7 linked regions of the Nothobranchius furzeri genome follow. The protein of the gene in region 1 purifies or fractionates together with the protein of each later gene. This does not show direct contact. Links are inferred from orthologs where the notes say so. Each region holds a gene or a part of one and is shown in the gene's direction. Other genes may lie near its edges.

Evidence for each region.
Region 2: the proteins of e2f1 (region 1) and kat2a purify together in Homo sapiens (affinity purification with western blotting; 4 studies listed by BioGRID and IntAct, with this or other methods). This does not show direct contact. The link is inferred for Nothobranchius furzeri from reciprocal best matches to the Homo sapiens genes E2F1 and KAT2A.
Region 3: the proteins of e2f1 (region 1) and psmd14 purify together in Homo sapiens (affinity purification with western blotting; 3 studies listed by BioGRID). This does not show direct contact. The link is inferred for Nothobranchius furzeri from reciprocal best matches to the Homo sapiens genes E2F1 and PSMD14.
Region 4: the proteins of e2f1 (region 1) and kat2b purify together in Homo sapiens (affinity purification with western blotting; 5 studies listed by BioGRID and IntAct, with this or other methods). This does not show direct contact. The link is inferred for Nothobranchius furzeri from reciprocal best matches to the Homo sapiens genes E2F1 and KAT2B.
Region 5: the proteins of e2f1 (region 1) and sirt1 purify together in Homo sapiens (affinity purification with western blotting; 3 studies listed by BioGRID and IntAct, with this or other methods). This does not show direct contact. The link is inferred for Nothobranchius furzeri from reciprocal best matches to the Homo sapiens genes E2F1 and SIRT1.
Region 6: the proteins of e2f1 (region 1) and trrap purify together in Homo sapiens (affinity purification with western blotting; 3 studies listed by BioGRID and IntAct, with this or other methods). This does not show direct contact. The link is inferred for Nothobranchius furzeri from reciprocal best matches to the Homo sapiens genes E2F1 and TRRAP.
Region 7: the proteins of e2f1 (region 1) and rbl2 purify together in Homo sapiens (affinity purification with western blotting; 3 studies listed by BioGRID and IntAct, with this or other methods). This does not show direct contact. The link is inferred for Nothobranchius furzeri from reciprocal best matches to the Homo sapiens genes E2F1 and RBL2.

What each region holds. Positions count from the first base shown.
Region 1 is NC_091755.1:51,396,266-51,400,650, forward strand, and holds the start of e2f1 (transcription factor E2F1), read left to right. Parts: upstream 1-1,540; 5' UTR 1,541-1,655; intron 1,656-1,738; 5' UTR 1,739-2,618; coding exon 2,619-2,870; intron 2,871-3,604; coding exon 3,605-3,704; intron 3,705-4,385. Other genes in the region: znf341 (zinc finger protein 341), read right to left, coding at 524-634, 952-982. UniProt on the Homo sapiens protein: Transcription activator that binds DNA cooperatively with DP proteins through the E2 recognition site, 5'-TTTC[CG]CGC-3' found in the promoter region of a number of genes whose products are involved in cell cycle regulation or in DNA replication.
Region 2 is NC_091745.1:16,609,685-16,613,299, reverse strand, and holds part of kat2a (histone acetyltransferase KAT2A), read left to right. Parts: intron 1-1,005; coding exon 1,006-1,112; intron 1,113-1,279; coding exon 1,280-1,384; intron 1,385-1,780; coding exon 1,781-1,917; intron 1,918-3,615. UniProt on the Homo sapiens protein: Protein lysine acyltransferase that can act as a acetyltransferase, glutaryltransferase, succinyltransferase or malonyltransferase, depending on the context.
Region 3 is NC_091749.1:40,666,055-40,670,102, forward strand, and holds the start of psmd14 (26S proteasome non-ATPase regulatory subunit 14), read left to right. Parts: upstream 1-1,146; 5' UTR 1,147-1,278; intron 1,279-1,986; 5' UTR 1,987-1,994; coding exon 1,995-2,042; intron 2,043-2,335; coding exon 2,336-2,407; intron 2,408-2,494; coding exon 2,495-2,614; intron 2,615-2,794; coding exon 2,795-2,865; intron 2,866-3,071; coding exon 3,072-3,222; intron 3,223-3,309; coding exon 3,310-3,417; intron 3,418-3,532; coding exon 3,533-3,607; intron 3,608-3,690; coding exon 3,691-3,816; intron 3,817-4,048.
Region 4 is NC_091759.1:19,556,451-19,560,547, forward strand, and holds the start of kat2b (histone acetyltransferase KAT2B), read left to right. Parts: upstream 1-1,227; 5' UTR 1,228-1,359; coding exon 1,360-1,560; intron 1,561-2,469; coding exon 2,470-2,596; intron 2,597-2,676; coding exon 2,677-2,822; intron 2,823-2,911; coding exon 2,912-2,998; intron 2,999-3,082; coding exon 3,083-3,264; intron 3,265-3,342; coding exon 3,343-3,534; intron 3,535-3,632; coding exon 3,633-3,736; intron 3,737-3,829; coding exon 3,830-3,955; intron 3,956-4,065; coding exon 4,066-4,097. UniProt on the Homo sapiens protein: Functions as a histone acetyltransferase (HAT) to promote transcriptional activation. Has significant histone acetyltransferase activity with core histones (H3 and H4), and also with nucleosome core particles.
Region 5 is NC_091752.1:5,652,093-5,656,442, reverse strand, and holds the start of sirt1 (NAD-dependent protein deacetylase sirtuin-1), read left to right. Parts: upstream 1-1,496; 5' UTR 1,497-1,503; coding exon 1,504-1,852; intron 1,853-3,846; coding exon 3,847-3,960; intron 3,961-4,076; coding exon 4,077-4,312; intron 4,313-4,350. Other genes in the region: dnajc12 (dnaJ homolog subfamily C member 12), read right to left, coding at 677-754. UniProt on the Homo sapiens protein: NAD-dependent protein deacetylase that links transcriptional regulation directly to intracellular energetics and participates in the coordination of several separated cellular functions such as cell cycle, response to DNA damage, metabolism, apoptosis and autophagy.
Region 6 is NC_091756.1:29,482,373-29,485,987, forward strand, and holds part of trrap (transformation/transcription domain-associated protein), read left to right. Parts: intron 1-301; coding exon 302-440; intron 441-3,388; coding exon 3,389-3,467; intron 3,468-3,615. UniProt on the Homo sapiens protein: Adapter protein, which is found in various multiprotein chromatin complexes with histone acetyltransferase activity (HAT), which gives a specific tag for epigenetic transcription activation.
Region 7 is NC_091744.1:80,493,790-80,497,404, forward strand, and holds part of rbl2 (retinoblastoma-like protein 2), read left to right. Parts: intron 1-1,578; coding exon 1,579-1,691; intron 1,692-1,752; coding exon 1,753-1,859; intron 1,860-1,987; coding exon 1,988-2,125; intron 2,126-2,485; coding exon 2,486-2,644; intron 2,645-2,918; coding exon 2,919-3,027; intron 3,028-3,101; coding exon 3,102-3,335; intron 3,336-3,410; coding exon 3,411-3,595; intron 3,596-3,615. UniProt on the Homo sapiens protein: Key regulator of entry into cell division. Directly involved in heterochromatin formation by maintaining overall chromatin structure and, in particular, that of constitutive heterochromatin by stabilizing histone methylation.

The sequences.
Region 1 (4,385 bases):
GTGTGAATGGGTGAATGACTGATTGTGTTGTAAAGCACCTTGGGGGGTTCCAGGACTCTAGAAGGTGCTATATCAAATACAGGCCATTTACCATTTCAGCCAGTAGGAAGCAGAAGCAGGAACGTGTTGCTTTAATATCGATTTCCTCTGCTACAAAGACGACATCCAGTTCTACCTTTCCATGCTCCCCTCTGATTTTCTTCCTCATGAAATGGGCATCATCGACCCGTTTCTACTCTTCAATCATTTTTAAAAGCTCATCTTTTAAAAAATCCATTTTGTGTCCAGCTGCATTTTTGTCCCTGCTTTTATTACGTTTTTTTTACCTTTGCTATTTCCCCTTTTTCTTTTATTAAAAAGGAACCTCGAATTGTATTATTATTATTATTATTATTATTATTATTAAAGTGGTTGTTGTCATTATTTTTATTTTAACCAACAGCCAAATGCACCTTGCCCTAAATAAATTATAAAAGAAAGCAATGACAGCCTAACTTATATGCTAGTGCGTCCTACTGCTTACCCATAGACTGAATAGTGGGCGTGGTTGACACATTTTGATTATTTGGGTCAGGAACTCCAGACTGGCCATCAAGCAGAGACTGAACAGCCAACACAGTCTGGTTGTCCATGCCTAGAGAGAGTGAAACAACAGAGGGGGGAGGAAACAATGCACGTGTTTACATTTAAAAGCTCTGCTTGATAATCTAGTAGCACAATAATAATCAACTACCTATTAAACATACGTAGTGTAATTAATCACCGTTATTGTTTACATGTACATACCAACCTAGCAGGGTGGTTTGATTTTTGTAACATTAGTAAACACCTATGCATAGTTTCACAATTATTTCCACATTTTAAAATGGCTCTAAACATGTTTATCTATAAAAAATATTTTCTGACATGTAAACATGTTGGTAGCTATGTAGTTAACAAAAATATTGCTACCTTCAAGCACCTCGAATATTGCCTGCGCCATCTTGCAGATTTCTGAGAGATAGGCGCTCGATTAGCAAGGGCTGCTACCTAAAGGACATTTCTATTCTGTAAATTCGACGAGATTTTTACGAATAATTCGTGTTTGAAAAAATATACTGTTCAATAGAGAGCTGCATAAACTGTTTATAATATGATGTGGACATTCCTGACAGTCTTAAAACAAAATAGCTAAAACATCAAATGTTTTAAATAGCATGCAAAATAAAATACAAGTCACGTAAGGACTTTAATTTGTAAGTTCGGTCACGGCTTTTCAATAACTAATATATGTTATTAAATGTTTAATATGTGACATCAGATCAATGTATCATTGATATGTTGATTTTGATCTAAGCGAAATGATTGTAAACGCTAGTTAGTTGAGGTTCTTCCGTGGAACCTGAACGCATCTTCATATCGACTAGTCTGTGCTCGTCTACATGACGGACACTCATTTACACCAATCAGAAAGCTCCGGTTTCTCTTCGAAGAATGTGCATCTTTTTGGCCAATGGCGAGCGTCAGATTTCCCCACGTGCAACTTTCGCGGCAAAATGGATTTCGCGCGAAAACCGACCAACGCTTGTTTAGATGTAGATCAGCTGGGACAATAACAACAATAACGGCTGATATCGGGCTCGGGTGGACACTTTCATGAGAGAACCGCAGCCCTGGTGAGCAGCTGAAAGTGCATCGGCGGCGGTTTTAAAGCATGCGTTTGTACTTTGACCGTTTTGTTTCGTTTTTTTAATTCCAGTTTTGTCTGACTGCTTCCTGCAGTGCCCCAACAAAACGAGGGGACTGAAGAACTGCGGCTAATGACTAAAGCTAACATGCTAATCTGCCCTACATTTCCACACTCAACATAGTAACTGTTATAAGGTCTTTGTTAGCCAGACGTTTTCATAAATACCCAATCAATGATGCTTTTGAGTCACGGCGATGCCGTTCGACTTCTCTGTATTTTGCTTTGTTAGCTAACTTTGAAAAGCTGATTTAAAGTTTCCGTAGCTTAACCGTTGTCCCAGTTTCGGATGTTTGGTGATTGTGGTAGTTTTACGGCTGGGAACGGCTCGTTCCGCGCCTCCTTCGAGAACTATTCCGAGGCTTTGTTGTTGAGCCATGAGTTAGCCTGCTAGCCGTGTCGGTAGCTGTGTGTTCAGGCCGCGGCCGAACTCTGCTGACAGGAGGCACGAAAACAAAAGATTTGCTCGCTCCGTCGCTGGCGTCCTTATGTTTAGCGTTTATTCAGACCCGCGGCAGGGTCTCGCGACCCTGTTTTAGGTGCTAATCCCGCGTTAGACCCTCATGGCGTAGAGATATTGTGCAATTTAGCAATGATCTGTCATTTTCCTGTTTGGCAGAACATCCAGTTTCTCCGTTCGGTCTGAAGTTGATTTGGCAAGTTCTGTTTATTTATCACTCTTTGAGTTAAACTGTAATAAATGTTTGTCTGTGAGGAAAACAACTTGTTCCAATTTGGGACGTTTGAGCATTTTTTACTCCTGCTCCACGAATTTACAGAGAACTACAAATGTCAGCAGGTGCTGATGTGCTTTTAGAGTACACCATCTTAGCCTGTGACCCCTCCCAGCACACCCAAAGACTAGTGAAGGAGCACTTGGTGACCCAGTGCAATGTCAGAGACTCTGATAACAGGGCAGACATCGGAGGATCTGTTGGTTGACTTTGAGACCTTGCTGAACTCTGGGAGTATAAAACTGGGCGAGGACCATCAGGTAGTCATCATCACCAGCCCCAGCAATGAGGGACTCCACCCTGTTGCAGCCCCGACCAGCACGGGGGAAATCCTGCTGTTCGCCACGCCACAGGGGCCCGCTGACGTGGGGGCCCAGGACAAGAGGCGGCCAGCTCTGGGAAGACCTCCGGTGAGGAGAGTGGGAGTGAGATGAGGTTAAATGAGAAGTTTCATGTCATATTTTGCTTTTTAAGCATTTTCTTCAAGGTGCAACAATAATTTTACTGTGAAATAATCCCATAACAGTCTAACATCTGAGTGGTATTGGAAGAACGGTTACGTTAAAAACAGATTTCCTTCTCAGCCGGCTATGGGGTCGTCAGGTTTCCTAGTTTAACTTAAAAACCAAAGAGGAAGGTAGTCTTTGTTTACAATCTGTCCCAATTCAGTACTTCCTGGTTCCAGAGCCAATCATACGTGCCCGCAGGTTTGCCAAGTCTGCACCGACATTTGTAATTTGACATCGGCCGGCATGATGCTGCGGCGTTGTGGAACAAAATGGAAGTCAGTAAAAAGAGCGACGTTATTTCATGTAACCCCGAAGAAGCCACGGCCTCTTTTTGTTGTGTTCTTAATGCAGAGGCTAACATTGAGCTAACAATGCTAACGGTGGATTACAAGCAAACTTCGATACTACAGCAAAATATATTTATCTACTCGTCAAATTACCGCGTATGACTCGTCTTTGCTCATCATCTAGAATCTTCTGGTGCCGTGCCGTAACTGGCAACAGTGGCTCAGAACAGACTCGTTTGTTTTGATTCACGGACTGCAGTACCCAGATTTGACCACAGGATGTCGTTCTGACTCCGTGCATCTTTAGGTAACACACAAATATAACGTATTCCATGCTTCCATCTTCAGGTAAAGAGGAAGTTGGACCTGGATAGTGACCATCAGTACATCAGCACCACCCAACCTCCCACGGGTCAAGCTCCGCCTTCTACGCCTGCTCCTCCCAGAGGTATGCACCCACAAACGCACTTTTGAGTTTTAGTATAGTGGATTTTTCAAATTTAAGGAACTGTGCTTTTCTTTAGAATGAAAGTAAAGTACAGCGACGACGAGCCTTAAAGGGACTTTACGGACTTGTGAATTTTTATGCTCATGATTGCCCCCTCAGGCCAAAAACGTAACAGCAGCTTTAATAGTAGGCTCGTGCACGAGGCGCGCATGCTGTACGTGCACACTCCTTAACGAAAGTAACAGCTGAGACAGTCCCGTGTGTGTGTGTGTGTGTGTGTGTGTGTGTGTGTGTGTGTGTAGCCCGGAGGACAGAGGACAGGAGAACGCGCAGCTAATTAATTAAATAATTTGGTTCTGTACCTTTCTCTTCAGCACAGCCGACAAAGGTTTAAGATGGGTCAGTCCTCCTGCATGCTCAGATCATTCCCTTCCCTTGCTTGAAAAATTGTTCCAAAATGAAACGTTTTTGGTTTTCTGTGACTTCAAATGCCGTTCGGCGAGTCTCAAATAAAAATTTGGGCATCTTACTGTAAAAAATATACCATTAATGTAAAAAGTAAACTCTAATTATACTATGTTCACATCCAGAATCAAACCCAGATCTTCTGCACGAGAGTCAGACGTCTTACTAGGTGAGCTAAAGCGCCAGTGACGTCTTTTGTATCTGTAACATTTATAT
Region 2 (3,615 bases), on another chromosome or scaffold:
GGGTCAAGTCTCCCCTCTGTCAGAGATAAAATTTCAGATTTTAGAATTTTTTCAAAAGTTTTCATCACAAGTGATGTGAGTGCTACTGGTCTAAAGTCAGACAGTTCCTTTGAAGTACTTGATTTAGGGATTGGGATTATAGTCGAAGTTTTCCACAAAGATGGAATCTGACCCACATCCACACATGTTTGAAACAATCTGCTAAAAACACCACTCAACTGGTTGGCACAGTGATGCAGGGTACGCCCACAGATGGCGTCGGGGCCCCTTGCTTTCCCCACCTTTACCTTTTTAAGTAAGATGGTGACCTGGTCTAGTGAAATTACAAATCCCTCACTAGGTTTGAGGGCTTCCTTGCAGACCCCAACCTTTCCAATAAGGTCCCCCCTCTCAAACCGACTAAAAAATGAATTAAAAACATCTGGCAGGACAGAGTCAGGCACTCCTTTTACATTGATAAGTTTCTTATCCTCTTTTTGGTGATTACAAGAAGCCATACATTTTATACCCTTCCAGGCTGCCTTAAGGTCACCACCGCTATACATATCTTCTATTTTGTCCTTGTATTTTAGTTTAGCTTTCCTGATCTCATCTCGTACTTCTCTAGATATTGCTTTTTTCTCAAGGTGGTTGCCACCAGAGGAATAAACCACTTTCTTTTTGTTGATGATTGATTTAAGCTCTTTGTTTACCCATGGCCTATTATTTGGATAAATAACAACAGTCTTTGAGTGAACCAAAGAGTCCACACAGAAAGTAATATAAGATGAGACTGTGTCGCACAACTCGTTAATATCCCCAGATGAGTTAAAGAAGCAGTCCCAATCAGTACACTCAAAACACGCTTGGAGTGCTGAAATGTTATCTTCTGACCAGCACTTCACTGATTTCACCTCCCGTGGTAGCCTCTTGAACACAGGAATATAGCGGGGTATAAGATGCTTTAGGTGGCTATTGCATTTCTTTTTATGAAAACACACTTCCAGTGGAATCTGCTGATTTCAGGTTCTTGTCGATGCTGGAGGAGGAAATCTACGGTGAGAATTCGCCCATTTGGGAGGCAGATTTCACCATTCCTGCTTCGGACGGCTCTCAGATGGGACCTCAGACAGGTGAGGCAGGTGTGCAGCGGCTGGTGGAGACATGGAGTTTGGTGTTTGTTGAGAACTGGTACTTTAGCATCAGGTCTGTCTGGCCTTGAAATGCCTCACAAAAGATGCCATCACTGCTGTTGTCGTGGTTACAAGTGGCCTGCAATTGATGATGTTTGTGATTGCAGTGATGAGTCCAGCGTCGGTCTCTGGGTCTGCTGCTTTGTCCAAATGTCTGAGCAGCAGCTCGTCTCTAGGCAGCGTGGACACAGGAGGCGTCGAGTCCATCATAGGTCAGCTCGCCAACATCTTCACTCTGAATCACACTCGACCTTCGGGTGTCTCAGTCACTCAGGTGTCAGTTCAGAGGATTGTGTATCACATACATCCAGTCTGACCTAATTACATGGAGAACCTCAAAGGGCCATTTTGGTAAATGTTTCTGCTTAAACGTTAAACTTGCTGTAATTAGCCTCCCTCACTTTCGAATTACACACTTTTTACAATCATGAGTGTCACTAGGAGCTGCAAAATGGAGAACTCCTGTTGCATCCATGGGTCAAAACCTTTCTGCAGAACTGATGCAGTGTGAAACTGAGTGTTATAAAGTCACTCTTTTCATGTAAATATGGAACTTCTGCTGGATTGATCCTATTATTTTGATGAGAGAATTATTTCCCTCTCTCCAGGGGAAAAGCGCAAACTTCCAGAGGCGTTGACTCTAGAAGATGCCAAGCGGATCCGTGTGATGGGAGACATTCCCATGGAGCTGGTTAATGAAGTCATGATGACAATCACAGATCCTGCTGCTATGCTCGGACCAGAGGTCAGCCTTCACCGCCAGTCAGGAGGGCAATGATGTTTTGAGCTGCAACTGAAGCCTGGAAGTTCGGATGTTGTCTCTCTGCAGTCTGATGGCACACCGTCAGTCCTGCAGCAGAGAGAGACACAGTGGGGGGACAGGACAAAATCAGCATTTTGATATATCGGCTATATCGATATGTTTGCATATATTTACAGTTGTTATTAGGGCCGGGACTTTAATGTGTTAATTATGATTAATTAATTAGAAAAAAATGACGCATTAAAAAAATTAACGCTTTTAATCGCAGCTTGCATTTCGAGAAAGGCGGAACCTTTGTTATTGCACGATTTTCTCGTAGACCGAATATCACTGATGCACACAACAATGCACAGTGCTAATGGCTACTAAAACGGAATAAAAACAGAAAGAAGTTGCCTTGCTTGGACTGATGCAGGATTTAGGAAACCCGTCCGCCTCTTTTCTTAACTGAAAAAAAAACAAACTTCCGGACAACAACGGAGTCCGTGTCGCGGACATTTTTCAGAGATCGATAGAATAATTCTTTGCCCTAACAGTAGTTTATAAAAGTAGTCAGACAAACGAGAGGCACCTGGCTGCCGCTGGGAGAACGCTCCGTGTTCTCACTACTCTGTAAACAATCACAACGTGTCTTAAAGTTGAAAACAGAAGTTTAAGTTAAAACAGAAACGCTCTAAAAATGTGATTAATTTAGATTAATTAATTACAAAGCCTCTAATTAATTAGATTAAAATTTTTAAACGAGTCACAGCCCTAGTTTTTATACATTGGCATTGGCCGATACTTGTTGTTAGTGAAGCCGATTTAAAGTCAGGCACATCCTGGGGCAGCCTGGTGCTGAATTTAATTTAAATGTAGTTTTACGTTCATTACCATCTGCGTAACCCCGGCTTTCCACCGGAGCCGTCAGCAGCACGTTACTGCAGCAGCACGTCATAGCTGCTGATAGGAACCGCTGTGGTCAACAGAACCTTTTCCACTGGAGCCGTCAGCAGCGTGAGTCGGCCGCGTCTCAGGAGCAGCATGTCGCGGCCTTTACGCGCCAGTTCTATTTTCTACGCGCGACGCCTCTGAAACGGGTCAGGTTCAACATTTTTGGGGAAGGAAAGACAGGAAATCGGACGCGGAAATGGAGAGAAGCTCCAGAGATTTTCAGAATAAAGAACGTACTGCCTTCCGGTTGCTTTACTTTAAAAAAAAAGTTACTAACTGTGAGGCCCCGTGAGAAGTTATCACCTAGCTAGCGGTCTCCTTTGTTTTTCAGGTCCGTATTGGCGATTATAAAACGAACAGAACATAAAACACAAACATTTTGGAGCCATATTGTAGTTTTCTCCTGCTTGTTGTTGTGTTTACTGACGAAGTCACTCGTGTGACTTCGTGCTCTGTCGGTGACGGCTGCTCCCCTGCTGCTTCGCGTCTCGTGGGAAGGGCCAAGCAGCAGTTTACGCGAGCAAGACGTGCTGCTGCAGTAACATGCTGCTGACGGCTCCTGTGGAAACCCGACGTAATAAGCGCTCTACATTAACTATTTAGGTGTCTGACTTTAACACTGAGCTGTGCAGAGTTTAAACACTGATTCAGCTCTAGGAATTTTGTGCATCTACTGATGTTATAAGTGACAATTTAGCATGAAAATAAGGTGGAAAATGTCTGGTTCTGCAATATATATCGGCCATC
Region 3 (4,048 bases), on another chromosome or scaffold:
AGCCGCAGATGCTGTTAACTGTGTTAAAGCAGACTGATAAATCCAATGAATGAACTCTGCTGGCAACAGACATGTCACTTTAAATAAGCAGCATTTTAGAAATCAATGATGTGTTTGGAGTATCTTCATGCACTATCAGATAACCAACAGGTTAACAGAGGTGCTCTTTTATTACTTACGTATGTTTATTCAAGGGGGACTCTGTCAAGGGTTTTATTACTTTACTTCACTTTCTCTTTACATCTTAACATTCTATTAAGATATCCTGATCTAATTACTTTTGTATTAAATTAAATTTGGATTTTTAAAGTCACATAATAAAGCTCAAGTAATTATAGGGAAGGACATCCTGGTTAAGAAAGCTGATTGTCTTAGAGTTTATTCAGGTGTGAGCGAAGGGGGGTGGGGGGTGTCCTGCACGCTTGAAAAGGAAGGGACAAAGGAATGTGGATGATTATGTGCTGCTTACACATCCACCAAAAACTCAAGGAATTCAGAATTCTCCTTGTTGACCTCAGGATGCCAGCTACAAGCTCGGCACCGCAGCAGGGCCACATCTGGGCGGGTGGCTGATGCTCCACTCCCCAAGCAGTCAAGATAAAGATACACGGAGGAGTTCTTGTGAAAGTCCAGAGGTGATATGGCTTCACTGGAGTTTGTGGCTCCACAGGAAAATGTTAAATGGTGCATTTTGCTTTAGTTTGGATTGTGCTGTTTGTTGTATTTCCAAAATGTTGAATACATTTTACCAGTGAACAAACAAACAAACAAACAAACAAACAAACAAACAAACAGCAATTAAATTTTTTCAAATTTCAAGGAATTTTCTCTATTTTCTTTGTTAATTGTAAACAAAAAAATCAACAGGCTTCATGTTATCTTTAAATAAACATTAAATTAAGCAATGCTCACATATAATATTGTTTTACGCGTTGGTGCGCTTGTAAAATCAGTCAAAACCATTAATTTTCTTTACAAATATAGCCTGGCTAGCAAGACTAAATAAATATAATATTTAAATAGTAAGGCAAGAATTTGGTCGAGTTCACTAGGCTATCAAAAATGCCCATTATGGGCAGACTAAATGATGAACACACCGCCATCTAACGGTTAGTGTAAAAAAAGCAGAAATAAATTACGTCATTTAGTGTGCGACGGAAGTAGTTCTGAGAAAAAAAACAGAAAGCAGATTCTGGCTGATTCATTGTAGCCTGCTCGTTCTATGTCATTGCACGCATAAAGCATACTACTCTGAACACACGTAACATTGAACAGAAGGTACGTAGACACACATGTCTGAGAAAGCGAGAAGCTGTCTTTAAATGTGATTAGATGGATCCAGAGTCCGTAATTACGTTTTTAGTTATTTGTTTCAAACGGGACAGGCTAAATAGTTAGCATGTCCGTGCTAGCGGTAACGTTGTTGCGCTGTTCTATCGATGTTTATTTGAACATTGAAACTACATTTTTATTTTGAGGATAAACTAGTAAAAAGTATTGTAACTGAACGGAGAATTCCCGATTTTTAAGCGATCTGGTGCTCAATATGATGTCTTTAAGTTCCGTGACAAATGAGCTATTTTGTGAGCCATAGCCTAGTTGAAACTAAATTAGCCTTAATTGTGAAACAGCTAAACTGCCTCTATGAACACGCAATTGATCAATTCAGACATGAGTTCAACATATAACTACAAACTTAATTTAAATCGGAATGAGTTTTTTTAGAAACTGCATTCTAACTATTTCTAATCTGTTTTTTTAAAGAGAAAATATATTACCTGTGAAATATAATCAATAGAAGTAATTGAAATCCTAAAATTTCTAACCGGAAGTATTTGTTTATTTTTGATTCTGCATTTGGCGCTTATGTGTTCATATAGTTTTTGAGGTCCCAGCATGAAGATCTAAATCAGAGCAGATGTATGGTTCTCTATTTAGCTCCTGGATTTTATTGGTCAGGATTTCTCTGTGTGCTTTGGTTTGTAGATCTCGACATGGATCGGCTCCTGAGACTTGGAGGTGGAATGCCGGGACTTGGCCAGGTAATTGTTTATTTTGTTTGATTAAAAAACACTAAAATCTTTGGTGAATTGTGAGCTAATTAAAAATCTACTTATTAACACTACACTGTCACTGATGTAGTCTTTGATCATAGCAATAACTCAATGTTTAGACTATAAGTTTATTGACTTAATTTGTTCTAAGTTAAAGGCACAATTTTGTCCACTCTCTCACACAAAGGTTAGGGCAATCACAGCATCTTGTAATCTATTATCAAACAAAACTGTATGGAGCTAAGAAGCCCGAGAACTTAACATCTTATTTGATTTTTCAGGGACCCCCTACAGATGCACCAGCTGTGGACACAGCAGAACAGGTGTACATCTCCTCTCTGGCATTGCTAAAGGTATTCATGCATCATCAACACCTGAACTGTGATACATCTGAAATATTATCATTTCCCTAAACTGTCATTTTGTTTTCTTTTTAATAGATGTTGAAGCACGGACGTGCAGGTGTACCAATGGAAGTCATGGGATTGATGCTTGGAGAGTTTGTCGATGACTACACAGTGCGAGTGATCGATGTGTTTGCCATGCCTCAATCAGGAACGGTATGTATTCTCCCCTGTCTCACATTGTATGTGTTCTGAATAAATACTATAAAAAACAGTTTGCCGTCTTCTTGGTCACATATTTTGGTATTTTAATTGTTAAAAGTTGGGGCACAACTCCTTCGCACTTGGCTTTTTAGCTACGTTTTGCTTCTCTTCATGTTAAAATAACTTTCACAGGGCGTAAGCGTGGAGGCAGTGGATCCTGTATTCCAGGCCAAGATGTTGGACATGCTGAAGCAGACTGGCAGGTGATGTGGAACAATTTTCAGGCCTTTTAAAGACCGATCTTCCTGCTTTTTCTATTTGTTTTTTAACAGACCAACAATTTAAAAAATCACAGGTCCTTCCTAAGACATTAACTTCTTTAAGGAAATCCAGAACCATTTAACAGCAAACAAGGCTTGTTAAACTGTTGTTTCCCTTAAGCACACTTGTTTTTTTTGTTTTATTTTAGACCAGAGATGGTTGTGGGTTGGTACCACAGTCACCCTGGGTTTGGCTGCTGGTTGTCAGGCGTGGACATCAACACTCAGCAGAGCTTTGAGGCGCTGTCGGAGCGAGCTGTGGCCGTGGTGGTTGATCCGATTCAGAGCGTCAAAGGAAAGGTCTGCTGCAGGAGACTCGCTATCATCTGTACAGCTCAGATTATGTTATGTACGTTGAGTGATGAAGTCTTTTTATTTTCTGCTCAGGTCGTTATTGATGCGTTCAGATTGATCAATGCCAACATGATGGTATTGGGTCATGAACCACGGCAAACCACATCCAACCTGGGTCATCTGAACAAGCCATCAATCCAGGTGACTTCATTCAACCATTTTGTTGCTCAAGATCCATAACTAGAGATAACCGTGACAACATCGCAATTTTCCCTCATTTTTATGCACTGATCTATTGGATTCTCCTGATGTTTAGGCACTGATTCATGGACTTAACAGACACTACTACTCTATCACCATCAATTACAGAAAAAATGAGCTGGAGCAAAAGGTCGGAATCCTACATCACCAGAGATTTCCTTTTTTTTTTTTTCAAGTTTTTTTAAACTGTTCCTGATCTTCCTAATAACTCAGATGCTGTTGAACTTGCATAAGAAGAGCTGGATGGAGGGCCTGACTCTGCAGGACTACAGCGAGCACTGCAAGCTCAACGAGACAATTGTTAAGGAGATGCTGGAGCTGGCAAAGAACTACAACAAGGTAAAGCGGGTCCCTGAAAACATGATAAAAGCATTTTTTTTTTTTTGCTAAGTAAATTTAAAAAAAATTCCATTTTGTGTTAAGAGTATCTGAAGCTTTATTAGCCTATTTATGCTGAACACTTGTGAGTGCATTATTTGTGTCATCTTTTGACTCGTGCAAAAGCTAATGTGCAGGATTTCACCTTTCTGTCCGTCAGTCCTATAACTGGTATTCCTGGTGATTTAAATGA
Region 4 (4,097 bases), on another chromosome or scaffold:
AAACACATGACTTCTTCCTTTCAAACTTTTGATTTTTTTCCTGTCCAAACTTCTGCATCACTGTAGGTCAGCTGAAGAATATACTGTTACACGTTAGCCACACTTAATGTGTTTGTCATGTTCTCTCTAACACACACACACACACACACACACACACACACACACACACACACACACACACACACACACACACACACACACACACACACACACACACACACACACACACACACACACACACACACACACACACACACAGAGAGAGAGAGAGCCTTTAGTCCAAACCTTTTTCTATCGTTCTCATGCCTTGCACTAATAATGCTCATGAATTTATGTTATAATCTCAGTCAGTGTGTTATAAATATATACATAATATAAATATATAAATAATATACTGTAAATACGGTGTTGCAGTGTAGTCTACCTTTTTATTTTTGTTTTCCCAGTGACGGGACTAATGCTTGCTAGGGATAATCAATAGAAGGTTAAAAACCATGTACAGTTAGCAGGAAAACAGCAACAATCTGGGTTTGGAGTTTTCCCCCCAACACACAAATGGTTAAGTCATAATCCGTGGTGGTCTTTATAAATATGTGTAGTAATATTAACAAAAAAAACATTGCATTTATTTAGATGTCTGCCTCATATTATTTTCTCAAAAAGAAATCTGTTACACCCAAACTTCCTGGTTTCATCCTCCTTTTTATTTTTAATGCCTTGTGTCTAAAATGTCCTCCTCCCGGGTTTTAGGAGATATAAACTGATTTAAAAATCTACATATTGGTCTGTTTAAAAATCTGTTAACAGCGTTACAGGAACAACAGAACATCTGTGACTTGGATCACTTTTGGTTTTAAGACTTCTTTGCAGGAAGACATTTAAACTGAAGCATTTTACAGAACTATTATGTAATGACCAAATAAATACTGAAATAAATTTGAGCATTCATCATTGTAATCTGGCAGTCTGTGTGTTTTTGGTATTTTTTCTCTTCTTTAAGGATATTTTGTGATGTAGGAGGATTATGCTGCTGATTTGTTATTTTATGGTGCAATACGTTTACTGTTCCCATGTAAAATTGTTGATAGTTGGTAGTTTTATAGTATAACTTTAAAAAGGTTCCAGTCAACATGATTTTCTCTAGATTTGACCTTGAATTTTGGCTCCAATTGGCTGGATTTTGTGACCTCTCCACTCAGTTGTGGTCCCGTGGGCGCCCCTAGCGGAGGAAAATGGCACCGCTGTGAGAAATTGAAAATAAGGATGAGCGCCATGTCTGATCCTCCGCTTGTGGAATAGCGCGGACGGCGGAGCCATCGTTTCCCGGGCCTGCGCTCGCTGCGGGTTTCGGGGTGAATCATGGCCGACACCGCGGGGATTCAGCAAGGTTCGCCGGCCATTGGAGCCGCGGGCCTGGTTCCGGCGGCTCCTGGAGCCGGGGGCACGGAGGGCTCCGGCGCCGCTGGAGGATCCGCACGTATCGCAGCGAAGAAGGCGCAACTCCACTCGTCACCTCGGCCGAAGAAACTGGAAAAACTCGGAGTGTATTCGTCTTGCAAAGTAGGCGTGATTTGCACGCGGGGAACTGTGAAAATACGCGTTTTGTGTGTTTAATCCAAATTAACGGTTGGTTTTGGTTGCAAGTTTTCATAATGCAGCGCAGCAAAGGAAGCCATTGCCGCACTTCAGTTTTTTTTCCCCCTTTTTAAAAAAAATAATTGCATGAACGGCACAGTTTTCTGAAAAAAATAAACGAAGATGTTTAGGATAACGTGTATTTCTAGCAGCCGAACTCTTCGGCCGGGGCCTTTTTGCTGGACGCTCTCTGGTATTTTTAGTGGTGCTGTTTCTGTCAAGGTGGGTGGTTGGTGAACGTAAACATTGGCTCGGAGCGGCTCGGGAGTCGCTGGCTGTGGGAACAGGAGCCGAGCTCGTGCGCGTGTGTCTCCTACCCTCACCAGAAGGTCCCACAGCCTCCAGACCTTCTGCTGGAGCTCGGCGGTGAGCCTACGGAGGCATTTATGGGGCTTGTGCGGCGTACGATCCGCAGAGGGTCGGTGTCTTTGTTTTGACAGGATGACAGCTGCTGGAGGGGGCGGAGTTTGTTATTGTTTCAGTGCGCATGCGCAGCAGTGACAGGCCCCCCCTACTTTGTTTGTTTTTCTAGGACACAAGGCTCCTTTTGGGTTTGAGCTAGTCCGACTAATTAAGCCAAAAATTGAGGGTGTTTTTTATTGTCTTCAGTTTTAACTTATTTCTACTGATTCAGATGCCCAAATACCTAATTCATCACATTCTAATTGTTTAAAATTCTGATTAACTTTAAAATGATTCGGAAATCAAAACATTTTCACATGTAACATATTATTCAAAGATGATGCGTTCAAAGACCAGGAAAAACGTTGGATTTCAGCTGACCGTGGTGATTATAGCTGTTTTGTTTGTTTATTTTCCACTCTGTTCCGACAGGCCGAAGGACCGTGCAAGTGTAATGGCTGGAAGAGTCAGAACCCCCCTCCTACACCTCCTCAAACGGACCAGCAGACCAACACGGTCAATCTGCAGGAGCCCTGCCGGAGCTGCTCGCACACTTTGGGTTTGTGTGCTTGTCGAACCCAACAATCCCTCTTGGTAAAAGTTATCACTCAGATTTATAATATCTTTATTTTCCCCCAGGTGATCATGTGACTCATCTTGAACATGTTTCTGAGGAGGAAATGAACAGACTTCTAGGAATTGTCCTGGATGTGGAGTATTTGTACACATGTGTCCACAAAGAAGAGGACGCGGACACTAAACAAGTCTACTTTTCCCTCTTTAAAGTAATTTCCAGCTTTATTGTTAATATTTTATCACGTATAACCTCTGCATTGTGATCAAGTAAGCTACTAATTTCCATTTGACCTTTTAGCTGTTGAGGAAGTCCATCCTACAGATGGGGAAGCCCATGTTGGAGGCACAGGAGACTCCTCCGTTTGAAAAGCCCAGCATCGAGCAGGTGAAGTAAGAGTTTGGAAGGAAAAACACATTTTCATTGACGCCGACTGATTTTTCTCTTTATTTCTGCTTGTGTACCTAAAAGGGAGTGAACAATTTTGTCCAGTACAAATTCAGCCATCTGCCATCAAAAGAACGTCAAACCATCATGGAGCTGGCTAAGATGTTTCTGAACCAGATCAACTACTGGCAGCTGGAGACGCCCTCTCAGAGACGCCAGCGGGTGCCCAATGACGATGCAGCAGGATATAAAGCTAACTACACACGGTGGGACTGAGCAGAGTTCCCTTTGACCTGCTTTCCTGGATTCTCTCGTAGTTTTATGTAAACCATTTCTGTGTGTAGATGGTTGTGTTACTGCAACGCGCCTCAGTTCTGCGACAGCCTGCCCCGCTACGAAACCACCCAGATCTTTGGCAGGACGCTATTACGCTCCGTGTTCACCGTGATGAGGAAGCAGCTGCTGGAGCAGGCCAGACAGGAGAAGGACAAGCTCCCCCCAGAGAAACGCACTCTCATTCTCACACACTTTCCCAAGTACGACACACACACACACGTGTTCACACAGAGAAATGACACAAACTCAACATTTTAAAAGCACAGCACTTAAAAAAAATGTGGTTTTCTTTGCTCAGGTTCTTGTCGATGCTGGAGGAGGAGGTCTACAGCCACAGCTCCCCGATCTGGAGCCAAGACTTCCTTGTAGGAGCTGCAGGAGGACAGATTCCCATCCACACAGGTAAAACACACCCTCACACACACACACCTGTACGCAAGTTGGAATTTTTCTTCGCTTTGTAAAAAAAACTTTTGTTTAAAATTCCCCGTGTAGTGATCAGTGCTCCCCCAGTAGTCCGGCCAATACACTACAGCACCAGTCCTGTGTCGGTGGACCCGTCCACCTGTGGTAGCGTCAGTCCTGCCAGGAAACCCGCCTCGGCTCTGGAGTCAAACCCAGGTATTAAAACTGTGATTGCACCGTGATCCGATAAAACTTCATGTCTATTTTATCGTGAGCGATTATAAAAGAGGCGAATGATGATTTTGAAGATTAAATTGTGTTTAAAGTTGGAGAAAAGCGTAAAGCATCAGAACCACTT
Region 5 (4,350 bases), on another chromosome or scaffold:
TTGTCGCATGCTGACCGGGTATGAGCAACTGATATTTTACATGTCATAGTTATTTACCAAACACTCTGTGACTAATATGGCTCATTCTCTGAGAAATTGTTTTCAGATTGGAATTGTTTTAAGATCTTTTCTTAATGGTCACACCACGGCTAGCTAACTCTTTTGTTCACATGAGCTAATCTATTCATTTTTTCTCAAAATTTAAACATTTCAAAAAGCAATCCAAAATTATTAATTAATCGATCACCTTTTCACAGAACCCCATTTCAGGAGATTTGAACTGCCCCTTTAATGTGTGTTAAATTAGTGGTCTCTATGGTGACCACTGACAACAGTTTTAACATTTCTTTTCATCTCTATGCTGTACACTTTTTTTGATAGTTTATGCATTAAAAAAGTAGTTATATTGTCTTTGCTTGGGTCACTTAAGTAGCCGTTGGGATTTAGTTATTTTTTTTTAATTATCTAAATTAATAGACACATTTTTCACCACCCCACCCACTGTGTGGCGAATCAACAGGTTGGTTCAATGAACAAATAATAAGTTCTGATTCACTTAATGAACATCATCCGTGTTTATTATTGTCAATGCGTGTCCAATATTTGTTTATAATGCATGATCTTCTCTCTAAATAGATGTTTTGCAAATAGCGAGAGTCAACTGACCACAACTTACCGATGACAGTTCGTCACATCCTAATAACCCGTAATAATCCTCCAAGTCCTCTGGTTTACAACTCAAAAGCGTCTCCATCGGATCCGATCAGATCAGAGAACGTTTGTTTATTTCGATCGGAGCTGTGTGATGCAGTTATCACAGCTGTTCACTTTCTATGGTTTTCGGTGCCCGGACAGTTTGTTTTGCTTTTACTGTTTTTCCTCACCCTGTACTGTTTTTCAAATAAATTGTTCTAAATAAAGTGACTCTGACAAATTTCTAATCTATGAAGATACGAGTCAGTAAAACGTAGCTATCTTTTCCCTCAACATGTGACGCATGCTGCATTAAAGTGTTGTGGTAACAATTCATCTCAGCGCAGTGACTACAGCTACAGAGGCATAAAATACTACTGAAATCTAGCTTAAAAAACTGTGGAAAAAAATAAATTGTGAAGTGAAATAGGGGCAAAATTATTTTCACCCAAACCAATATTTTATGTTGCAAAATGCTACAAAAAAGGGGAATCTTCTCTTTGCCATTATTCTAATACTGTCATTTCCATGCTGACGTCTTGTGCTGTAAGTACCAAAAATATTTATGCAAGTTAGATTATATAGTCATAAAAATACGAGTTATTGAGCATTTTTCCCAAACGTTTTAGGCTTTTATTTTTTGTTATGCGCGTTACTGCAAAGAAACCCAACGACACCTGAAGGCAGCAGTAATTTGTTGTAGTCTTAGGTATTTGCTCTTCCTCATTGGTCGAGAAAGAGTCACGTGTGCTATGTAAATGAGCCAGCTGTCCGAGAGGAAGGCTTTGCGCAGCGGCTCTGGGGTTGAAGATGGCGGATGAAGAGAATAGTCTCGGAACGGCCTTTTCTGGCGCCTTCATAACGGATGAACCTGCGACGAAAATATCAAAAATGGATACGCCGACTAATCATGGGCTTAAACCCACTGAACCGGACCAGCTTTCGCGCGTCTTTGCAGCCACAGAGAGTCGGGAAGCGGCGATAAAACGTTCGCAGCCTTCCGAGAAGGAAGCAAAGCCGGTGATGGAGGTAGAGCAGGCCCCAACAGCGGCGCGGGACGGAGACAACAATGAACGGGGAATTCCGGTCTCCGAGCCACAGAGACCGGCTGGGAAACTGGTCGACAGTGCTGTACTTTGCTCAACCGAAGAAGTCGCAGGTATGAATAACGCTTACCTCTACTAGCTTACAAACGTTGCGGCTGTTTGGTTTACAGCTCACCGGCAAACTTGATGCTTAAGTGACAGCGAAACGGAATAAACCTATCGGTTTGTGTGTTTTCGGTGTAATGCAATTTCCTCTAACCATAAACGCGTCCATAGGTTTTAAAGTCCACATCACTTAAACTGTAAGAAACTTTGAAGCCAACGTAGCGTCATTTAGCCGGTGTAACGACAGAAACGTGTGCACCGTCTTATTGCGCTGGATCGCGATTATTTGCGATACACGGTATCATCAGCATATAATAATATTATAACGGGCGTTACTTTAGTTCTTAATGAAATGCCAAACCTATTATGATTAATGATAAATGACCCGCACTTTTATAGCGCCTTTCAGAGTCGGCGGACTCCAAAGCGCCTTACACTACAGTGTATCATTCATCCACTCACACACCCTTGATGATAAGCTACAATTTAGCCACAGCTGCCCTGGGGTGCACTGACAGAGGTGAGGCCTCTGAATACAGATGTCATCAGTCCCTCCAAGCATCAGCAGGCAAGGTGGGTTAAGTGTCTTGCTCAAAGACACAACAGCAGTCTGCCAGGTTCGAACTTGCAACCTTAGGATTACATGACAACCCGCTCTACCCCCGGAGCTACTGCCAGATTTCTAGGCTATCTTTGTACCACAGCAATAACTCATTTTACTCTTAAGTGGATGCTTACTTTTTATTCATTTGAAATATATTATTTAAAAATTATACGTAATTAATTGGAAAATTACATGTGAACTAAAAGTTGTTGTCATTACATTCTGTTCACAGCAGCCTCACACTTAACTGCATTGAGCATTTTGTTATAATTTGTCTTGTGCCTGGTTTCCACCTTATGCATAAGCAGCGTGTAAGAAGACACAGATAATAAACACCTATAAGCAATGGTTTTTTTTCCACTGGATGTGGAGTGGAGCATCTCAGATGTGTCGTAGGAGTGGTTTGCTGTAAAGTCGCTGACGCTAGTCTGACTCGATGCAATCCGCTGGATTCCCTTATACTGGAAACTTTGAAATTATTGGCATGATTAACTGAACTCGGTTGGAATGTTTACTTGGTGAAGTGCCTTGAGAACAATTCTTGTTGTGATTTGGTGATGTATAAATAAACTGAATTGAATTGGGTATGTTTTTCTAACCCAGCCTTTCCACTGGATGTGTAAGCGGCATGCGACGTGATAGAGGAGTTTTACTTGTGAACTCCCTTCCAACTGGGAGCATTTCAGGCATGAAACGGGAGTGAAAAGGTGAATGCCTCCTCCGGGTCAGGGATGAGGTCCTGCCCCAAGTAGAGGAGTTTGAGTATCTCAGGGTCTTGTTCATGGGTGAGGGAAAGATGGAGGACAAGATTGATGTGTACTGATCTGTCGTGGTGAAGAGAGAGCTGAGCTGGAAGGCAGAGCTCTCGATTTACCGATCATCTACTTTCCTACCCTCACCTATGGCCACGAGCTTTGGGTAGTGACCGAAAGAACAAGATCGTGGATACGAGCGGCCCCCGCACCATGAGAACAAACATCTCGGCTCTAAAGCCGATCTTCATCCGCATACGTCACACGTCACGTGATCAGGAAGCAGAACATCCATGTGTTAGGAGATCGTTTTGGGCCGCTGCTGTAAAAAAAATGAGGCGCGAACGGAAAAAGCTTCTGCCGATCACAATTCAACAACGGATTATGAAAGAACGGATAACGCTCGAAACACGCGGATTCTTCCTGATGTAAGAGCTGAGTCTCCGCTTTGTTTTGGTTGTTTTGGCGTCGACATCATCCTAGCGCGCAACGTTCTGTCACTCTTTAAAAAAACAGTAAAAACGGTGAGAAACGCTGGCAGTGAAGGGCTTTACCGATCTGGAAACGGCTGGCAGTGAATGAGTTAAGCGTCCACCGGAAGGCCCAGGTTAGTTTCTAACTTCTTTCTTTTTATTTGATTTTCTAGGACATGACGATCTGCCCTCCAACGGCCTTGCTGCCTCACCGGAAAACCTCAACGATGAAGACGACAGATCTTCACATGCAAGCTCCAGCGACTGGACTCCTCAACCCCAAATAGGTAACTGGGACGATTTGTCTGGCATTTCCTAAAGAAAAGTGCCTTAAAGACAGATAAAATTCTTGTGGATTTGTTTGAAAATGAAGTTTCTGACTGTTGTTTTGTTTTCTGGCCAGGCTCTTACAGTTTCATCCAACAACACATTAGAGAGACCGATCCGCGAGCCATTCTAAGGGATTTGCTTCCTGAGACTATACTCCCTCCAGATTTAGATGACATGACACTGTGGCAGATCATCATCAACATCTCAGAGCCTCCGAAGAGAAAGAAGCGGAAGGATATAAACACTTTGGAAGATGTGGTCAGGCTGCTTCAGGAAAGCAAAAAGATCCTTGTGCTGACTGGCGCTGGGGTAGGCATTTACAGTTCTACTCGTCTAGGACTGTATTA
Region 6 (3,615 bases), on another chromosome or scaffold:
CGGAAACGAGCTCGACTTAATGCCGGCAATGCAGTCCAAGCTCTGACACCGGTCATACAGGGACCTAACAGCCCGTATCAGAGGTCCTGGTACCCCATACTCCCAGAGTACCCCCCACAGGGCCCCCAGAGGGACGCGGTCGAACAGCTTCTCCAAATCCACAAAACACATGTAGACTGGTTGGGCAAATTCCCACGCACCCTCCAGGACCCCCCTAAGGGTATAGAGCTGGTCCAGTGTTCCACGGCCAGGATGAAAATCTTTTTCTAACTGATATGTGACATATTTGTCCCCCGTTCAGGACCTGGTTGGGAAATACTCCCAACAGTTGGTGAAGGGCATGCTGCAGCTGCTGTCCAACTGTCCATCTGAGACCGCTCACCTTCGCAAGGAGCTGCTGATCGCGGCCAAGCACATCCTCACGACTGACCTCCGCAGCCGTATGTATTCAAACACATGCCTAATTATTTGCTATTATTGGTTATAACTTGAACGTCTTGGGTTTTTGCTCTTTTATCTATTCGATTATTTGTTAGACTGTTGGAAAAGTAAAAGCTCTACCGTTCCTGAAATCCTGCAGTCTTCACTTTGGTTTATCAGTTATGGTGCTTTAGTTCCTCAAAACCATTTTCAGTGATAGTCTTTGTTAATAAGCCACTCGGCTCTTTCGTGATAACAGAAGAAACTATCCATCCACAGGGGTGGACATTAACTTCAAAGCCAACCGGCCAGCCGGGCCGGTTGGCTTTGAATATTTACCGGCCCTGCCAAGAATCTACCGGCCCCGCTGGTCAGCCGCCAAAACGAGTCAAAATAACAACTGAACCGTTTTAAATGTAACAAACCTTTAATTTGTACACATTCACAAACATAATAACGTATTCAAGTTTGAATTTGTTTGTTCCCTCAACAAAACACGATTTTGTCGTCGCATACTTCTGGCATACAACGCAGTACATCACCAACGCCGCTTTGCTGTATTCAAGCCATTGACTGTGTTCGAGAAGAGCCAGTTCTGCGCAGAGTAGACCAGCAGTGATCGGCGAGCGGTGCATGCCGGTTAGATTTGTGTCCGAATTGACCTGACTTGCTCTGACGTCATGCATACGTAGGCATCGATAACCTCGTGAGATCAAGGCGGCTGCAGATTTTGGAGCAAGGCGCTGCAGTTGCTCTCTACCGGCTGCAAAACCTAGAGGATGATGGGAAACGCCTGGCTCTCACCTGATCTAAGATCTGATTGGTTCACATTTTGATCCAAACATCCGGTGGTAGAACATGAAATGTTAGTTGGTCACATGTATTCTGTAAATCATGTTATGTTGATGATGACAACTATATAGGCCATAAGGAGAAATGTGTTTTGTGTTCTTTTGTCACGTTTCCTATGAGCACACTGAACAGCTGATAACCTTTACTTATTATTACAGTCATGTTTTCATATAGAATATATGATATCCACAAGCGCGTGAGGATGTGTTTCTGCTGCTAACAGGCACCAGAATTAAAATTGAAAATTGAACAAGTGTGAATGCTAACGCGATATCTTCATCCATCGTCACCCCCGAGCTACACATGTAGGGAAGTCCAAGAGATTCAACTGGCAGAAACAACTGGTTCACACCACACACTCTCACTCACTCACTCACACACACACTCACTCACTCACTCACTCACTCACTCACACACACACACACACACACACACACACACACACACACACACACACACACACAGAGGAAAAGAGCTGAGGAAATGGAGGACACCAAGTAATTAAAAGAAAAACTACAGCTGAGCCGAGGCGCGCCTCGAATGGGGCGCGTCTGATCTGAACTGAGGAGCGGCGAGCAGCGGCCGGACTTCGTGAGCGATTCGCTTCGGGCGCTTCCGCGGCCGGTGTGTCCCCGGCGTTAAACGCCGGCTTTCAGCCACTCCCCCTGCTGCTTCCGTCTGCTCTCGTCTGTTTTCCAGGCGAGCCGCTACTCAACTCAAATACGGCCATTCTCCGCGCCTCCCGTCTTCTTTAAACCTCCAAGAATCATTCCACCTACGCACACGCTTCGCTGCTTCATACCGTTTCGAACTGTCTCGCTTCTCCTCACCAGTTTTAAAGCGTTTTGCCGGAGATTTCATCAAGAAATCCCATCCCTGTGGTGGCGCGATCTTCCTGCGTGCTTGTGTGTTTCTAGCGTGGTTCCACTTCGTCTTTAATAGTGAACTTATAGTTCACGTGACAATAACTAGAATCGTGCAGGACGTGCACGAATCGTACAAGTGCAGTACGTGGCTAGAGGCGCGCAGGTTCACGGGCGCGAAACGAAAACGGCAGCTTCCTACAGGGCGGGGCCATGACGTAGGTGAAAGCCGGTGTGTAAATGACAAATAAAGCTTGGGCGCCACCCGGGCGGTAAGTCGTCAAGTATTTACCGCCCGACGAGAAAATTTAGCGCCATTGGCGCTCGGGCGCTTTAAAGGTCCACCCCTGATCCACAAACTGGTGTGTGAATTTATTCTTTCTGCAGGATAGCACAGAGAGCCACAGTCACTCAGAATCCCATTCAACTGCATTTTTGTAGATATTTTCTCAACTGAGAGGTGTGTGTGTGTGTGTGTGTGGGGGGGGGGGGGGGGTGTTGAACTGCTGTTAAATAAAAATAACAACTTTAAAGTTGTGATTGACTGTTAAAACATTTTTAGTGATCGTTTCTGATTATAATCGGCCACTCTGAGCTTTTCTTGCAGGCAGAATATGGAAATAGTCTCCTACACCTGTCTCCTGCATTAGCTTCTGATAGAAAACAGACGGTGAAACTCTAGGATTTGATAAGCCTGACGGATCCAGTGTTTCCCCTAGAAAATGTTCCAGCCATGGCGCGTGGGGGGGATGGGGATGAGGGTTGTTGTGTGCGAACCGTTTAGCCTCCATGCGTCATTCCTACTAGAGATGATCTCAAAAGTATTGATTAAATGAGTCAACTACTCCTTTAAGGCGGCAGCTCATCAGGCTGCTAAAACTACATGAAACCTTTCAGGTGGGGTTACAGTGGGCTGGTACTCACGTAGGGCATGCAATGTCTTTGTTTGCATTTTGTACAAGTGTTTATGGCAGTTTCACATTTATTGTACTTTTTTACTCGGGGAAACCAAGAAGGCTTTGAGGCGGGTTCCATTCTGGGAGAGAACCGATTAATTCTAAAAGGTTATTTTTGTAGTAACCCTGTTCTAAGTACCACCAACACCAGAGTGAGAACCTGACTCTCATGAGAGGAAACCAAGTTTCAGCCCAGGGAGATGCTAGCTGTAGAAACAAACCAACGTCAAAGCACATCAGTGTTTATTTTTCTGTCATCCGCTACACATCATTTCTGACATCTCTTGGGTTTTCCAGAGTTCATCCCTTGTATGGACAAACTTTTTGATGAATCCATTCTCATCGGCTCTGGTTACACGGCCCGGGAGACTCTCAGGTACGCTCACATCAAACTTTTGCTCATCCAACTTAAAATTCCTGCTGCTATCCTTGGCTTTGCATGGCTGATTTCTCAAGCAGGTGCTGAAGGTGTTAAGTGCCCCATCATGTTAATCTGTAGCAGAAAGTCTCAGGGAAGCTGACTG
Region 7 (3,615 bases), on another chromosome or scaffold:
TATGGGTTCTGACCGGACTAAGAGAACCCTCAGGTGTCAGGTTCTGATCCGCTAACCTCATTACTCCCACCCCACCATGTCTAAAGGGAATCACTTTGGAGATATTGTGCCGTATGGATGGTTTCGCTGGCATGACAAGTAATTCAGTGTAAGAGAGGTTGAGTTGGAGATGGTGGGATTTCACCCATCTTGATATGTCAGAGTCTGAGATTCGTTCAGAGACTCTGTGGTCGTCCAGCGGGAATGGCCGGTAGAGCTGGGTGTCATCAGCATAGCAGTGGTAGGAGAAGCCATGTGATTGAATGATCTCACCTAGTGAGGTGGTGTATATGGCAAAGAGAAGAGGTCCTAGTACAGAGCCCTGGGGGACTCCTGTGGCAAGATGGTGAACAGCAGAAATTGTCCGAGCCAAGATGCACTGAAAGATCGTCCTTTCAGGTACGATTCAAGCCAGGAGTGTGCTTTCCCTGCGATGCCCATGCTAGAGAGTGCGGACCAAAGGAAGCCGTGGTTGACAGTGTCAGATACAGCCGATAAGTTAGTTACATTTTAAACATGTCAGAAAGAGCGCGGCATGCGGGGAAATCCGTCCGTCCAACCAGTCATGGGCGTGCTGAATCAGCCTTTAGCTAACCTGTTAGCTTCAGGTTTTAGTCTCAGGGCTGCACTTAGAAGAAGAAGAAGAAGAAGAAGAAGAAGAAAATATTTCTATAGCGCCTCTCAAGATAAAAATCACGAGGCGCTTCACAAAAACAAAATATGTAAAAATATAAAAAAGCATTTAGAAAATGTTTAAAAATATATTAAAATGAGCAAAAATAGGCAATTGTAATTAAAAAAAATGTTAAGAAAGAGAGAGAGTGAATAGGAAAGAGGGAAATCAGTGGATCCTGAGGAAGGTGGAATAGGTGGGGAGAGCAGAATAAAGAGAGAGTGGTGAAGAAGGTCATACAAAAGCCAGCTTGAACAAGTGAGTCTTCAGCTGCTTTTTAAAGGAGACCATTGAGTCCACTGATCTCAGGCTCAGGGGGAGAGAGGTCCAGAGTCTAGACTTAGAGCACAGTTCGGTCAGATATCAGGTCCGTTTAGGTTCTAACTTGTGGATTCTTGTGGATTACGGCCAGCTCGGCACCGGTGAGGGAGTGTGCCTGATGAGTAAGCCACGTTTTATCTTGTGGGACTTTTTCTGAGGATGTGCACAGGTGTTACAGTGGTGCAGAGGTTAGGCATCCATTCTGTAAAGCCTAAAGGTCAGAGGTCAGCTCCACCACTGACCGTGCTGACAGCTGGGAACAGCTGTCTCTGCTGCAGTGCATTGTGGGTAAACACATCCACCTTGGTGTCTCCGTGGTTTGTTCAGGTAAAATGCTACCAATCTGAGCTGCTGTGACCTTTAGCCTCCCTGAAACTGAGTGTTGACCTTTGACCTTAGGGTGAACTTGCTGCTTTTCCAGGTTTGGTTTGGTGAAGCCGGTTTAAGGTTCTGGTGAGGTCCAGTTCTGATAGACTAAGCCTGACCTCTGACCTTTAACAATTTACATTGACTGGAAGTCTGGAGTGCGGCTGTTTCGGTTCCAGGGGCTGTTCCAGAGACCCCAGTGATGTCATCAGTCAGCGCCTGAAGGACATGTTAGACATCTTCACACAGCATCATGAGGACAGCACTGATGACAGCAAGGGGATGGAAAAAGGTGAGGACCTGAGCCCAGTGATCAGCTGATCTGCTGTCCCACCTGACCATGTGTTGTCCAGCAGACATGGCCGTCAAGTTCTTCCACCTGAGCGAGGCGCTGTACTACAGGATCCTGGAGTCCATCGTTGAGAGAGAAAAGATGATCCTGGGAGACGCTGACCTGTCTGTGAGTACAGTTCTGGTCTCAAGGTCTGGACTCCTGACCCAGGGCGTCTGGTCTGGACCGGGGAGGTTCTGTGTGTGATGGTTACCAGCTGTGACTGCACTGAACCATACCCCCTGTTGGTTCTGCAGTGTATTCTGGAGCAGGACGTGTTCCACCGCTCCCTGCTGGCCTGCTGCCTGGAGATCGTTACCTTCTCCTACAGACCTCCAGGAGACTTCCCCAGAGTCATCCACACCTTCCAGCTTCCTGCTTACCACTTCTATAAGGTACCAGCTGGCCCGACCCGTTCTCAGACTGAGTCCAGATTAGCCAATCAGGAAGCAGCATGCTGAGCTTCATCTCAGCTATCGGCACTAGTCAGCAGCATCTGCCAGACACTGCTCAAGACAACAATAATATAAACAACAATAATTGTAATAACAACTGTAATAATAATAATAATAATAATAATAACAACTATTTCATCATCTGATGAACGAACTAATACTCATAAAAACTCACGTTTACTGTGTGTGTGTGTGTGTGTGTGTGTGTGTGTGTGTGTGTGTGTGTGTGTGTGTGTGTGTGTGTGTGTGTGTGTGTGTGTGTGTGTGTGTGTGTGTGTGTGTGTGTGTGTGTGTGTGCAGGTGATTGAGGTGCTGGTCCGGTCGGAACAGGGTCTGTTTCGGGAGGTCGTGAAGCACCTGAACCAGGTGGAGGAGCAGGTTCTGGAGAGCCTGGCTTGGACCAGCAACTCCCCGCTGTGGCACAGTCTCCAGTCAGCCCAAGTCCCGACCTGCCAGGAGGTCCATGAGAACACAAACAGCACCTGGTTCTACTTCACCTGTAGAGATGATGTCATCTTCTTACTGAACAGATGATGTTGGAAACATTCAGAACCTTTTGTTTACCAAAGTCTCAGAGATATGAGGAGGCTTTAGGCTGCTCACAAATAAAATTCAGTGGTTCTGAAAGTTCTGTGGGTCAATCAGTGTGTGTGTGTGTGTGTGTGTGTGTGTGTGTGTGTGTGTGTGTGTGTGTGTGTGTGTGTGTGCACGTGTGTGTGCGTCTGCGTTTCAGGTGATGCCTCCTCAGTACCTGGAACAGAATGAAGACAGCGGTGGGGCTGGCATTGCCCTCACTCCAGCCTCACAGGGACCAGACCTCAGCACCAACAGCACCATCACAGGTGATTTGTCAGCCATCTTGTCTTACTCTTTTGTGTTTCTGTGTAGAAATAATTTGCCCCTCCGTCTTCTGAAGGCGTGTCCCCCTCCCCCACCACCCTGCAGGACCGGTATGGCTCCCCCCCCACAGGTGGATTTCGTCGCCGTCTGTTTGTTGACCCGACGGAGGGTGAGACCAGCGCCACAAGAACACCACCGAGCAGCGTCACAAAGCCGAGCCTCATTGCCACCATTCCGGCGGGGCAGACTGTAGTGGCGACCGCCACCGTCACGGCCAACAACGGGCAGACACTGACTATACCTGTGCAAGGTAAGGGACTCAAAACAATGAGTTAACTACAACAGGTGACCTGTAACTATGTGCTGACCTCTGACCTCTTTGTAGGGATACCCAATGAGAATGGAGGATTCACTTTCATCCCAGTGCAAGTGGGCGGGGCCACACTTCAGCCACTCCCTGCCCAGAACCTGACCAGCACTCTCGCCATCCAATCAGCTGTCACCAAGCCAGTCACTAAAGCAGTCAGCAGCCCACTGAGGAGAGGTTCCCTCTCTCTGTTCTTCAGAAAGGTACGCCTCACCTGTCCACA